Linked DNA regions of Daphnia pulex. The protein of the gene in region 1 interacts with the protein of each later gene in a pairwise test. Links are inferred from orthologs where the notes say so. Each region holds a gene or a part of one and is shown on either strand. Other genes may lie near its edges.

Region 1 (5,414 bases):
GGCTCTAGGTCGAGGATTGAGCAGCCTTACCTACGGCACGCCTTAACTAGTGACTTGAGAAGGACTGAAGGACAAGATTTCTGCCGTAAAACAGCAAAATGTCAGCCAATCAAAAACAACATTTGCTTGACAACGAAATTACCATATTCACAAACATCTTTGGAACTGGTTACCGATTCACACACTCAGGATGATGTTCAGGTTTGGCAACATGATTTGCATTGTCCTTTTACAGGTTTGGCTAATCCTTTGTTTTTCTTCTAGGATAAGCTCATGTTTTGGCAGAACTTGAAAAGTGTTCCCAAATGCTGGGCTGTGATTCAACCCTTTTTGTGTGCTCTCTACATGCCAAGATGTGAAAATGGAACAGTAGAACTTCCTTCTCAGGTACATACAAAATTAGAATAAGTATGTTCAATCACTCAATGACATTTTACTTACAGGAAATGTGCAAGGTTATTCGTAATCCTTGCAGAATTGTGGAACTTGAACACAGGAATGGCTGGCCAGATTTTATGAGATGTGAAGACACTGAAAAATTCCCTTCTGGCTGCAAAGTTTGTAATTATTATGTGCATTCATTTGCTATTACTAACGAAACTTTTTTCTCTTGCAGAATGAGGTGAGAGAATTGAAATTCAACATCACTCCAAAGTGCCAGTCTCCTCTGGTGGAAACGGACAATAGTTTGGCTTATGTTGAAGGAGTTGACGGATGCGGACTGCCTTGCACTTCCCCGCTGTTTACAAAGGAGGAACATGAACAAGTCCAACGATTCACACAGACTCTGGTCGCCATGTGCCTCACCACCAATTTGTTTGCTGTGGTAAGATAATAAACACGTTTAGAATATGGAGATAAATGAATCAATAATCAATCGATTGCTATGTGAAGTTTACGTTCATGATTGACTGGCGCTCCGCTTCACGCTACCCGGCCGTTATTATTTTTTACATGAACGTATGCTTCGCTGCCGCTTGTATCGGTTGGATTGCTCAATATATTCCCAGTGCTAGACAGGATATCATATGCCGGAAAGATGGAACAGCTCGTGTATCAGAACCAAGGTATGATGCCAACTCAGCTTAAGCCGCATTTCAATGTCTGTAGCAATTTTGGTTTTATGCTTTCACGATTTCGTTTGATTTATTTTTTTATTTTAGTGGCGGAGAAACGCTGTCTTGTGTTGTTATATTCATCTTAATCTATTATTTTCTCATGGCTGCTTGTGTTTGGTTTGTCATGCTAGCCTATTCGTGGTTCGTCAGCTTCCAAGCCCTGGGTAGAATTTTAAATTTTTTTTAACTGCCACCCCAAAAAGAATGAAGACAAAACTGAATGTCATCATTGAAATCTCTCTAGGTAAAATCCGTGAGAAAGTCAGCTCCAAAGCTGCTTACTTTCACTTGGTCTCCTGGTCAATCCCTCTGGTCCTTACAATTACATGCATGGCGCTAGCACAGGTTGAGTTTTATTTTAAACAAGGAATTTATGTGTGAACGTATTTGTTGATTTATATTTATTTATTTCCAACGCAGGTCGAAGCACAAAGTCCTCATGGAATTTGTTTCGTGGCCAACAGCAAAGTGGTGCGGTCTGGTTTCGTTCTGGCCCCTGTAATGATCTTGCTTTTCATTGGCCATGTGTTTCTCTACCGCGGTTTGCTTATTTTGATTCGTCTCAAACTGGGCAGCGCTGCCTCAATCTCCGCTTCCGCCAATTCCAAGTTACGCAACACCATCGTTCGACTCGTCTCGTTCTCAGCCTCTATTATCTGTGCTATCGGTTTGTCCATTTTCTGCCATGTTTACGAATTCGATAGACGAACTCAGTGGAAAACTTCCTTCCGCTCCTACATGGTGTAAGTAATTTTTAAAAAATTGTATCTAAGGATCTCCGCTTAAATCATAATACTTTTACTTGTAGTTAAATTAGCTAAGCTTTTCACGTTCCTTATCACTCTTATTTTCATGGGGTATTAATACTGGTTTTTATCATGGCGTCTATATGAGTACGGAATTTAAACTTGCTTTAGGTAGTCCTGGCTATCGCACCCAATTTCAACATGGCCTTGTAGTCTATTTATCCCCATAAAACTAGTGCGCAGCCGCTTTTCTATCCAATAAATTAATAATTCATTTTCAGATGGCACGTTTCTGTGCCACGTGCAGAAATTCGCCAACAACGCTAATAAGAGTTTCCTTCTAAATCCAGATCATTAACTGAAATTGAATTTTCTCTGCCAATCTTTCCTTATAAAAATTCAATTAATTATGAAACCAAACTATTTTTATCCAGACTTTTTTCAATTTGTACTACTACAAAAAAAATAATTATCTTTTCCTTCCCACGAAACGCTTTCATCCCCCCCCCCCCAAACTAATTAGTTCCAGCATATAAATGTCGTTTTATGTGTAGGAGGCTTGTTACCTCGAAACGTTTATAAGCCCCATAATTTCAAAATAGGTATTTTACGCCCCCGTTTTGAAGTAATCAAGTTGAATAATTTACCATTTCCCCTCAAACTTAAAAACAATAATTTTTTAACTAAAAGAAAAATTCATTGTGTTTTTTTCAACGTTCGTATTTGACATTGCAGATGCCTGGCCAATCAAAACACCTCTCGCATTCAGAATCAAGGCCTTGCCGATGACTGTGAATTGGAATCTCGACCGAGCATGACCATCACCCAAGTTCATTTGATTGCCGTCTTTGGAGCTGGTGTAGCCGTATCTTCGTGGGTCTGGACAAAGGCTTCCGTCCTGGCTTGGCGGAGGTGGTACCGAAGGTATACACACTTCTTGTTTACTCCCTGTCGGCTTGTTTGCATGTAAACATCGTTTTTATTTCCAGGACCTTCAACAAGAGACCGTTGGATGAACGCGTTCGCATTCGCAAACATAAAATCATTGCTCAGGCGTTTGCCAAGCGAAGAGATCTGAATCACATGGGCCGGATGTCTATCAGTATCCACAGTACGCACGACGATCCAGTCGGTTTTGGCAACCTTGATCTGAATAGCGCCGCTTCCAATGACGTCAGTTCTGCATGGGCTGCCGCCATTCCCAAATTCGTCACACGCCGTGGCGCTATCGTCGGCGCGGCTGGAGCCTTTGGACTGCGGCGCAATTCGCTGGATTCCGAAATAAGCATGAGCGCCGTCCGGCGTATTTCGGTCGAATCGAGAGCCAGTCAGTCTCGCCGTCACTCATTCGATTCACAATACTCGGTACATTCTCAACAAACGACGGATTTGGAGCGGCTCACTAGACTACACTTCCGCCATGGAGGTCGTAAACGTAATAATTTGCTCCGGGGCGGAAGAAAAATGGCGCTGAGACGCAGGGGAAGTATTACGTCTCAAGCTAGTTCGAAAGGGTCGCAAATATTGCCAGCCATTACTAAACTTGCGCTGAGAAATCGCCGAGGAAGTATCACTTCACTGGCCAGTTCTAAAGGCTCGCAAATCTTGCCGGCCATTACCAAACGTAGAAACCAATTACTTCCTCTTGGATCAGCTGGAGCGAGCACTGTTGTCCAGGTTCAACCCAATGACAAGCGGCAATCATCGCAAGTCGATCTGGAACGAATTGAGCGCTTCTCGCTCAACCTGCCGGGCGACGGAAGTAGCGACGAAAGTGACATCGATAATGGAGAATCATGCAAAGTTACTACGGTCCCTGTCACCCAGTCGACTCAAACTGCCGTGACGTGGAACGTGGCCACACAGACGTCGCCCAGTTTATCGACGCTTCGACCTATTTCTACCAAGAGTGCTAAAACAACAACGCAGTCTGTGTCTAAAGGCACACAGGTGACTTCATCTTCTTCTTCATCGTCACCATCATCCTCGGCATCCACTTCACCGGAAGCCGTCCGTAAATCGCTGCCGAAACCGTCGACATCGGCCCCAACGAACATCTCGAGCTCAAAGTGCCACAGAGAACGAGGTCAAGCCGATGGGTCACCCAATGGAAGCTCATCAGACGTATCGGATCACATATCAGCCAGCGGGCCTGGCCTAAGTTCGCCTTCGCAATCATTGCTCGATTATTTGCTGCCCATCAAATCGGAGAAGAAATCTGATGATCGACAACTCAACGGTTCCAAGAGCAGGTAAATATTTAGCACATTTGCATTCGTTTGCAAAATTGGCGTTGACATTTAAATTTTCAGTGGCAGGTCCAATAGGAACAGAAGCGCCCGCTCTCGCGGGGTCGAAGCAATTGAGTTGGACCGTTCGTCTATCGCCCGCCTTCTTGAAAAACTACGAGAGGAGGACCACAAAGCGGCGGTTGAAGCTGCCAATGCCGTTATCGATTCAGACGAACGTCCTAAACGCTCCTACGACAGGCGTCATCGCGTTGAGCGTAATCGTCGCTCACAATCTGAACGCCACGACGGCAATGAAATTGAATTAGATTGCTTGCTGAGCTCCAAGAATTCGAATCGCTCTGATCGATCCAGAAAATCCGGCAGTCGACGCTCCCGTTCCAAGCAAGAAACAATTGTCAATGACGATGTATCATAATGATCAAATCTTTTCTTAACTCCCTTTTCGGTCTTGACGATTCAACTTTATTTCCTTTTTCCTCTCCCGTATTCCGACATTTTATTTTATTCTTTCCCCATATACCTGAACGTGACAATCGTTGTTACCAACGACCTCCGTTTATTTTTAAAAGTTATGTGACTCAACTTTCTATGTAACTTTTTTTTATCTAAATCCAACAGAGGACGAATCTCATATGCAGCTAAAAATCAATCAATCAGGTAATGTGAGTCCCTTTGTTGCCTTTCAAACTCTGACTTTGGAATTCCATGCATTCTTCCACTTATAGATGGTTTTAACTTTATCGAACCGGATCTCTTCTTGGCAAATAGTGTCAATAAAAAAAAATGTAAGTGCCATTTGAATTGAACTTTGTCGAAACTACTTTTAGAATATCCCAGTGTAACCCAGTAACTTGAAATAGGAACACAATTCGAGCTGCCGATTTTTTCACGGCATAATCAAATGTGCGCGTTCAGCTGAGCTTTTTTAAATCATTCGATTTATACCACGGCTGAGTTGCTGCTAGCTGGAAGCGGAAATGGTGCATCCGCTCCTTTTGGCTACGACAATTTCATTTAGGTATATACTTTTTTTTTCCACGTGTCAAGTTAACGTGCTCTACTACAAGTACGTTGCCTTTGCTTTTGATGAAGTAGCAGCTGCGCACTAGTTTTCTGATGAACATTTTGGACTCATATAAAGGAAGTTTTTTAAATGAGGTGTTTGTCAAGAAGTTCAGTTGAATGGGGAATGTGAATTGACTTTCTATCATGTCTGAGCTACAGGTTAATACTAGTAGTCTATCGAATAATCAGCAGTGGTCTCACGATGAATCGCTCGACATGGATCTCACGATCAC
Region 2 (5,280 bases), on another chromosome or scaffold:
AGAACTCGATCCTCCGCTTTTCCTGCCCAGCAGAGGAGTCGTAAAAACATTTAAGCGCGATGTCTAAGGAACAAAATTGTTGTCAAGCAAAACAACATTGTTTTTGACGTAAAAAGCAACAACTTACCGAAAAATCTTTTCGGCTCAATAATGGGGTAGAAAATGGGCCTTTCTTTCCTTTGTTACGTGGTGGGGGTAGTGGTGGAGGAATTGAAGAATCGGCATTTTTGGGTGGCAGTGGTGGTCTAACTGTCGGGACTATACAATCCAGCGCCTGTGAAAAGACGAATTCTTTCGTTATCTATAACATTGAGGGTATTTTTCAAAATATGGAAGTACTTTTCTAGAATGATTCATTCTTTTAGGGTGTCGATGATACATGTCATCGCAGGATAAGCAAAATATTTGGTTGAGACATTTCTCACACCGAACTTTTGGACTTGAGGATCCACAAAGTTCACAGTGACGTCCATCGCCTTTTCTCGGCTCCATTTTTCCACCTACAACGTGTTGGAAAATACCAAAGTGGATGATTAATAGCTTTTCGTTTGAGCTAACCATTTTGTGCATACAAAAATAAAAATAAATTGTACCAAATCGAATTGAGAACGTAGCTTTATGCCCAGTCCCGTATTCTATGTCTTCGTATTCGTCCTCCAAGGGCGGTGGTTGGGTTGTGGGTAATGGAGGTGGTTCAGCAGATGCAGCGTCGTTGGTAGCAGATGCAGATTTATTTTCGGAACTAGCCGGCGTAATTTGCTAAATAATTCCCACAGCATAGAAACAAAATTAATTTCAAAAAATTAACCAACACCAACTTCCCCCATAAAAACTGACACAAAATTGATTGCAAAGAATTGGTTTAGTTGTTTCGCATCGCAATCAAAAGTATAACTGATGCTGGTGGTCTGAAGTAGTAAATAATAGCGTTGACGTACCCTCATTTCATTTGACACTCACAGGAGACATGGGATAGATTCGACACGAGATAGCCAATTGCGGAAACGGATAAAACGATCCCCACACTCAAAAATCGACTGAAAAATCGTATATAAACTCCCGGAGAGATGGAAAAGGCGGACCGCACGCCGCACTGTGCGATGATGATGTCCGTTCGCCCCGCCGGAATAGACACCAAAGAGCAAAGCAGTGCGACAAACAGGATAGGAATGGGCCGCTGGAATTGTCGGCAATCTGCCAGCGATTCACACGGCACCCCCTGACAAAAAGCAAAATCCCAAAAATATCGTCGAGCTCGTCCTGCTGGTCGTATCTTCCCTGTACCGGGGCAGTTCTCCCCCGTGAGACACCGCCAGCGCGTCAGTGAGAATCAATCTAGACATGCATGAATAGATTTGGCCTTCATTGGAAGGCATTCGGAAGGTGTAGCCAACGGGATTTTAATGGTAAATAACATCATGTAAACACCCGTGCAAACAAAAAAAAAAAAGTTTTATCAACTGAGGTGTACTATAATAGCTAGTAATCGTTCAGTAGATTACAGTAAACTATCAGAAAATATGAAACAAAATAAATAAAGTTTTTACTAGATTAACGTATCGTAAATAATAACAAGTTTGTTTTTTTGCCTGAGCATGCAACTATTTCAATTGCCTAGAGTTGAATGAACTGAATACTTCCTTGTCAATTTACCGAATCAAAAACCCATCCGAGTTCTCGAGATGTAGTTTCGCAGGAACAAAATCAACACTCGCGCTTATTGTGTGTGCCGTGTTTGAATGCAGCTGGCCTTTCTCTCAGACGTCACGGATTTAAACTTTATATATTCCTCTGGAAGAAAGTCAAAAATAGCTTGGCATTCAAGGTTTCCAACTCTGACTGCCGGCGCGTCATTGCCACGGTTATAGGAAGCCACCTCCGTCGTCAGAGACTATTCTGCTACCAAATATTTATCAACAACGATATCCAAATCATTAGCTACACCTCATTTGTCCATGCAAAGCATTTCAAAAGTTTAATCTTGATTAAATACCTACCGGAATTATTCATCTTCTATATTTAATTCTTTGTTTACTCTTATCTTTACACTCTTGTAGCTAAATAAAATATGTTTTTTAAAAAAATAGGGAATCGATAGATTTGTACCATCTCGGTGATGGGAATAACGTAAATTTTCAACACATTCATTTCCGGTTGTTTTACCGGTCTTTGTTGTGTGTTTTTTTTTTTTTTTTTTTTTTAAATTCTCTTCACGCCCATATATCTTCCACCTTCGTAGGGCGTGTAGCATACCGCGTGCGTACTGTCTCTTTTACTGCTTTTCGCGGCTTTTGCACTTTTTGGTCCAGTGCACAGCGCACTGGCTTGTTTAGTTATTTATACTCTTATGGAATTTTCTTATAAATATATCATTGTTATCCCTGTGTTATATGTTCACCACTTCGTCAGATTTAATCATGTCTATCTGGCTCGGGAATCATTTTCATCACCTTGCCAGTTGGCCTTATTCGAAAATACAGCGCCATCTCTGATCCAGATATTTACATGGGAATATTGTTAGTCTAAGCTTCGCTAGATGGCTTCTTTTGTTTATAGACAATTCATTTCTGATTAAAATCCAAGAATCGTAATGATCACTACAATTATATCCATTTCTTAACAGCGGTAAAAGAAGTGACACTGCTTTATTGTGGTTTCTTAACATTCAAATTATCTAATAAATCCGAGTTGAAAGTGCGTTGAAATGGAAGACTATGAGGTATTAGAAAAAATTGGAGAAGGATCTTTTGGAAGAGTTTACAAAGCAAGACATAGACACTTGAGAGGTTTGGTTGCTCTCAAGTTTATTCCAAAAGTAAGTGTTATAAATAAATTCCTTTCCATTTCATTGTAACAAATTCTATACTTTGCGTTTGTAGATTGGTAGGACAGAATGTGAGCTGCAAAGCTTGAGACACGAGTTTGAAATCCAGAAAGGCTTGCGTCACCCAAACATTGTTCACATGCTTGGTGCCTTTGAGACATTTAAAGAGGTAATCAAGAAATTTCACAATTTATTTGTTGTAGTTTTGTGTGTTGATTATTAACGATTTATTTCTCCATCCAGCTAGTTGTTGTCACTGAGTATGTTGAAAGTGACTTGTACAAACTACTGGAAGATGGGACACTCTGTGAAGACAAAATGCGAATGGTTGCTTGCCAGTTGCTATCTGCTCTCTACTACCTTCATTCAGACAGGATATTACACCGTGACATCAAACCTCAGAATATACTGCTGACAAGTGATGGCATCATTAAACTTTGCGATTTTGGATTTGCAAGATCCATGGACCTCAACACTTATGTGCTAACATCTGTCAAAGGAACTCCATTGTACATGGCCCCAGAAATCATAGAGGAAAAGCCATACGATCATAATGCAGATTTATGGTACATTTTTTATTGCAGATATTGTCTCTTCAAAGATTTGTTGATTTACCCTTCATTTTTACAACAGGTCCTTAGGTTGCATTTTGTATGAGCTCCTTTTTGGATCGCCACCCTTTTGCACCACATCTTTATTGCAACTAATACGAAAAATTCGTTACGAAACCGTGCCTTGGCCCACAAATCTGAGCCCAGATTGTTTCAACCTCCTTCAAGGTCTCTTGGAGAAAGATCCTCGCCGCAGGCTAACTTGGCCTCACTTGCTCGAGCATCCTTTCCTGGAGAACAAAGTTCTGCTCCCACCTGAAAGACGTATGTTCAATACAATGTTCCTTTTCTGGTAAAGGTAACAAATTTCACTGATTCCCTCTTTACCTTCTCTCTAGTGAGACCTCAGCTTCCCTTAACGACTGCCTTGACGGCTTCGCAGGAACTGGCCAAAGAGATTCAAAGACAAGATCTCTCCCAAAAGATGCCGTTCAAAAACAAGTGAACATTGTCGTGCTGATTATTTTATCCAATCCTTTAACTGAAATTTATTGGTTGTTCTTTTACAAGGGTTTTCACGCGAGCCCTTCAGAGATTAGAAGAGTACGAACGACGCCGAAATAGCGCTCCAGTTTCTCAGCCCAAACAATTGCTGGCCCATCCCGCCGCCGCCTTCCACAGCACCCAATACAATCCGTACGTCACTTTAAACAGAATTTCTAAAAGTCGCGTTTTTTTTTAAATTTAAAACTTTATCATTTTGGTCGAATAGTGCATTTGGAGACTGGACGCGTCGCCAAAGTGCAGCCGTCGACACCCACCGTTTACCGCCTGCCATCGATCCACGGATCAGTGAGAGGCAGCAATTGCTGGAAAGAATTTTAGAAACGACCAGATGGCCGACCAAACAAAATGTGGCCGATTTCGATCCCCTCGATCCTGGCACCAACGCTCATCATTTCTCCCTCATTCAGCCAGCCGTGCCCAACCCGCCAAACAACCAGCCGACTGTCGAAGAAACTGTTTCACCTTCCATCGAGCCCAAAACGGAGGTAAAAATCGATGTGCAGTCCTATCATAGAAGAAAGGATTGACCAAATGATGATTGATTCATTCTAGGCCAAGGAAACGACAACTGGCGAAGTTGCGGCCGCCGCAACCGCCGCCGCCGGTTCGTTGCTGTCGAAATCTCTGGAAAACGACGAATGGGAAGAGTTTCTTGACGGAACGCTGGCCGACGCCATAGAGAATCCGCAGACGCTGGAGCAGAGGGATCTCGTCGCCGTTGTGGTGGCTCCGTTACGCAACGTCAACGCCAGCCCGAGCCTAGTCGAACGTATAGCGACTCTGCTGGCCCTGCCTTGGGCTGGAATCGACCGCGAGGAATCAGTCGACGAAGAATTAATCGTCCGCGCCTACGCAGACACCCGCGTCGTGCCCAATCTCTTGTACGCTTGCAAAGTAATGGTTCAGAGAAGATCTGGCGATAACCGTAGCACCGGGTAACTCCTCTTTTTGTTTATTTGTCACAGTCTAAATTCCATTTCTCATTCTCCCATGTGATTTCATTTCGTTTTCTATTTTTCTTTTTTTTTTGGGTTGTGCCCAAAAACAGGAGCATCGACAGTAAAAAGACGGACGCCGAATTGACGGCCGACGATCTGCAGTCCTTAGAAATGCTGCTGGGTTTGATGGCCCGTCTGGTGCACCTGAGTACGACCGCAGGTAATCACTCATCGCGAGCTCTTGTGTAACTGGAAACGAAAGTGGGGGTGGCTAATCATTATTTTAATTTTCTATTCCTTCCCTTTTTTTCCCCCCGATTGAATTCACAACAGAATTCATCAATCAATTCTGCGATGCTGTTTGCGTGCTGGATTGCGCGGCCGCCATTCATCACCTGTT

The links. The genes of interacting proteins can lie anywhere in the genome.
Region 2: the proteins of smoothened homolog (region 1) and serine/threonine-protein kinase fused-like interact in a two-hybrid assay, tested with the Drosophila melanogaster proteins (2 studies listed by BioGRID, with this or other methods). The link is inferred for Daphnia pulex from reciprocal best matches to the Drosophila melanogaster genes smo and fu.

The regions. Positions count from the first base shown.
Region 1 is NC_060027.1:3,197,914-3,203,327, forward strand, and holds the end of smoothened homolog, read left to right. Parts: coding exon 1-201; intron 202-264; coding exon 265-387; intron 388-443; coding exon 444-557; intron 558-616; coding exon 617-826; intron 827-894; coding exon 895-1,067; intron 1,068-1,163; coding exon 1,164-1,282; intron 1,283-1,362; coding exon 1,363-1,463; intron 1,464-1,538; coding exon 1,539-1,861; intron 1,862-2,599; coding exon 2,600-2,788; intron 2,789-2,853; coding exon 2,854-4,116; intron 4,117-4,176; coding exon 4,177-4,531; 3' UTR 4,532-4,917; downstream 4,918-5,414. UniProt on the Drosophila melanogaster protein: Segment polarity protein required for correct patterning of every segment. G protein-coupled receptor which associates with the patched protein (ptc) to transduce the hedgehog (hh) signal through the activation of an inhibitory G-protein.
Region 2 is NC_060025.1:6,992,143-6,997,422, reverse strand, and holds the start of serine/threonine-protein kinase fused-like, read left to right. Parts: upstream 1-2,184; 5' UTR 2,185-2,704; coding exon 2,705-2,815; intron 2,816-2,879; coding exon 2,880-2,993; intron 2,994-3,067; coding exon 3,068-3,390; intron 3,391-3,457; coding exon 3,458-3,699; intron 3,700-3,773; coding exon 3,774-3,876; intron 3,877-3,945; coding exon 3,946-4,071; intron 4,072-4,147; coding exon 4,148-4,427; intron 4,428-4,494; coding exon 4,495-4,877; intron 4,878-4,990; coding exon 4,991-5,100; intron 5,101-5,213; coding exon 5,214-5,280. Other genes in the region: E3 ubiquitin-protein ligase lubel-like, read right to left, coding at 1-63, 128-274, 340-500, 594-759, 939-944. UniProt on the Drosophila melanogaster protein: Probable serine/threonine-protein kinase; maternally required for correct patterning in the posterior part of each embryonic metamere. May be involved in control of cell division during metamorphosis and ovarian development. May interact with costal-2.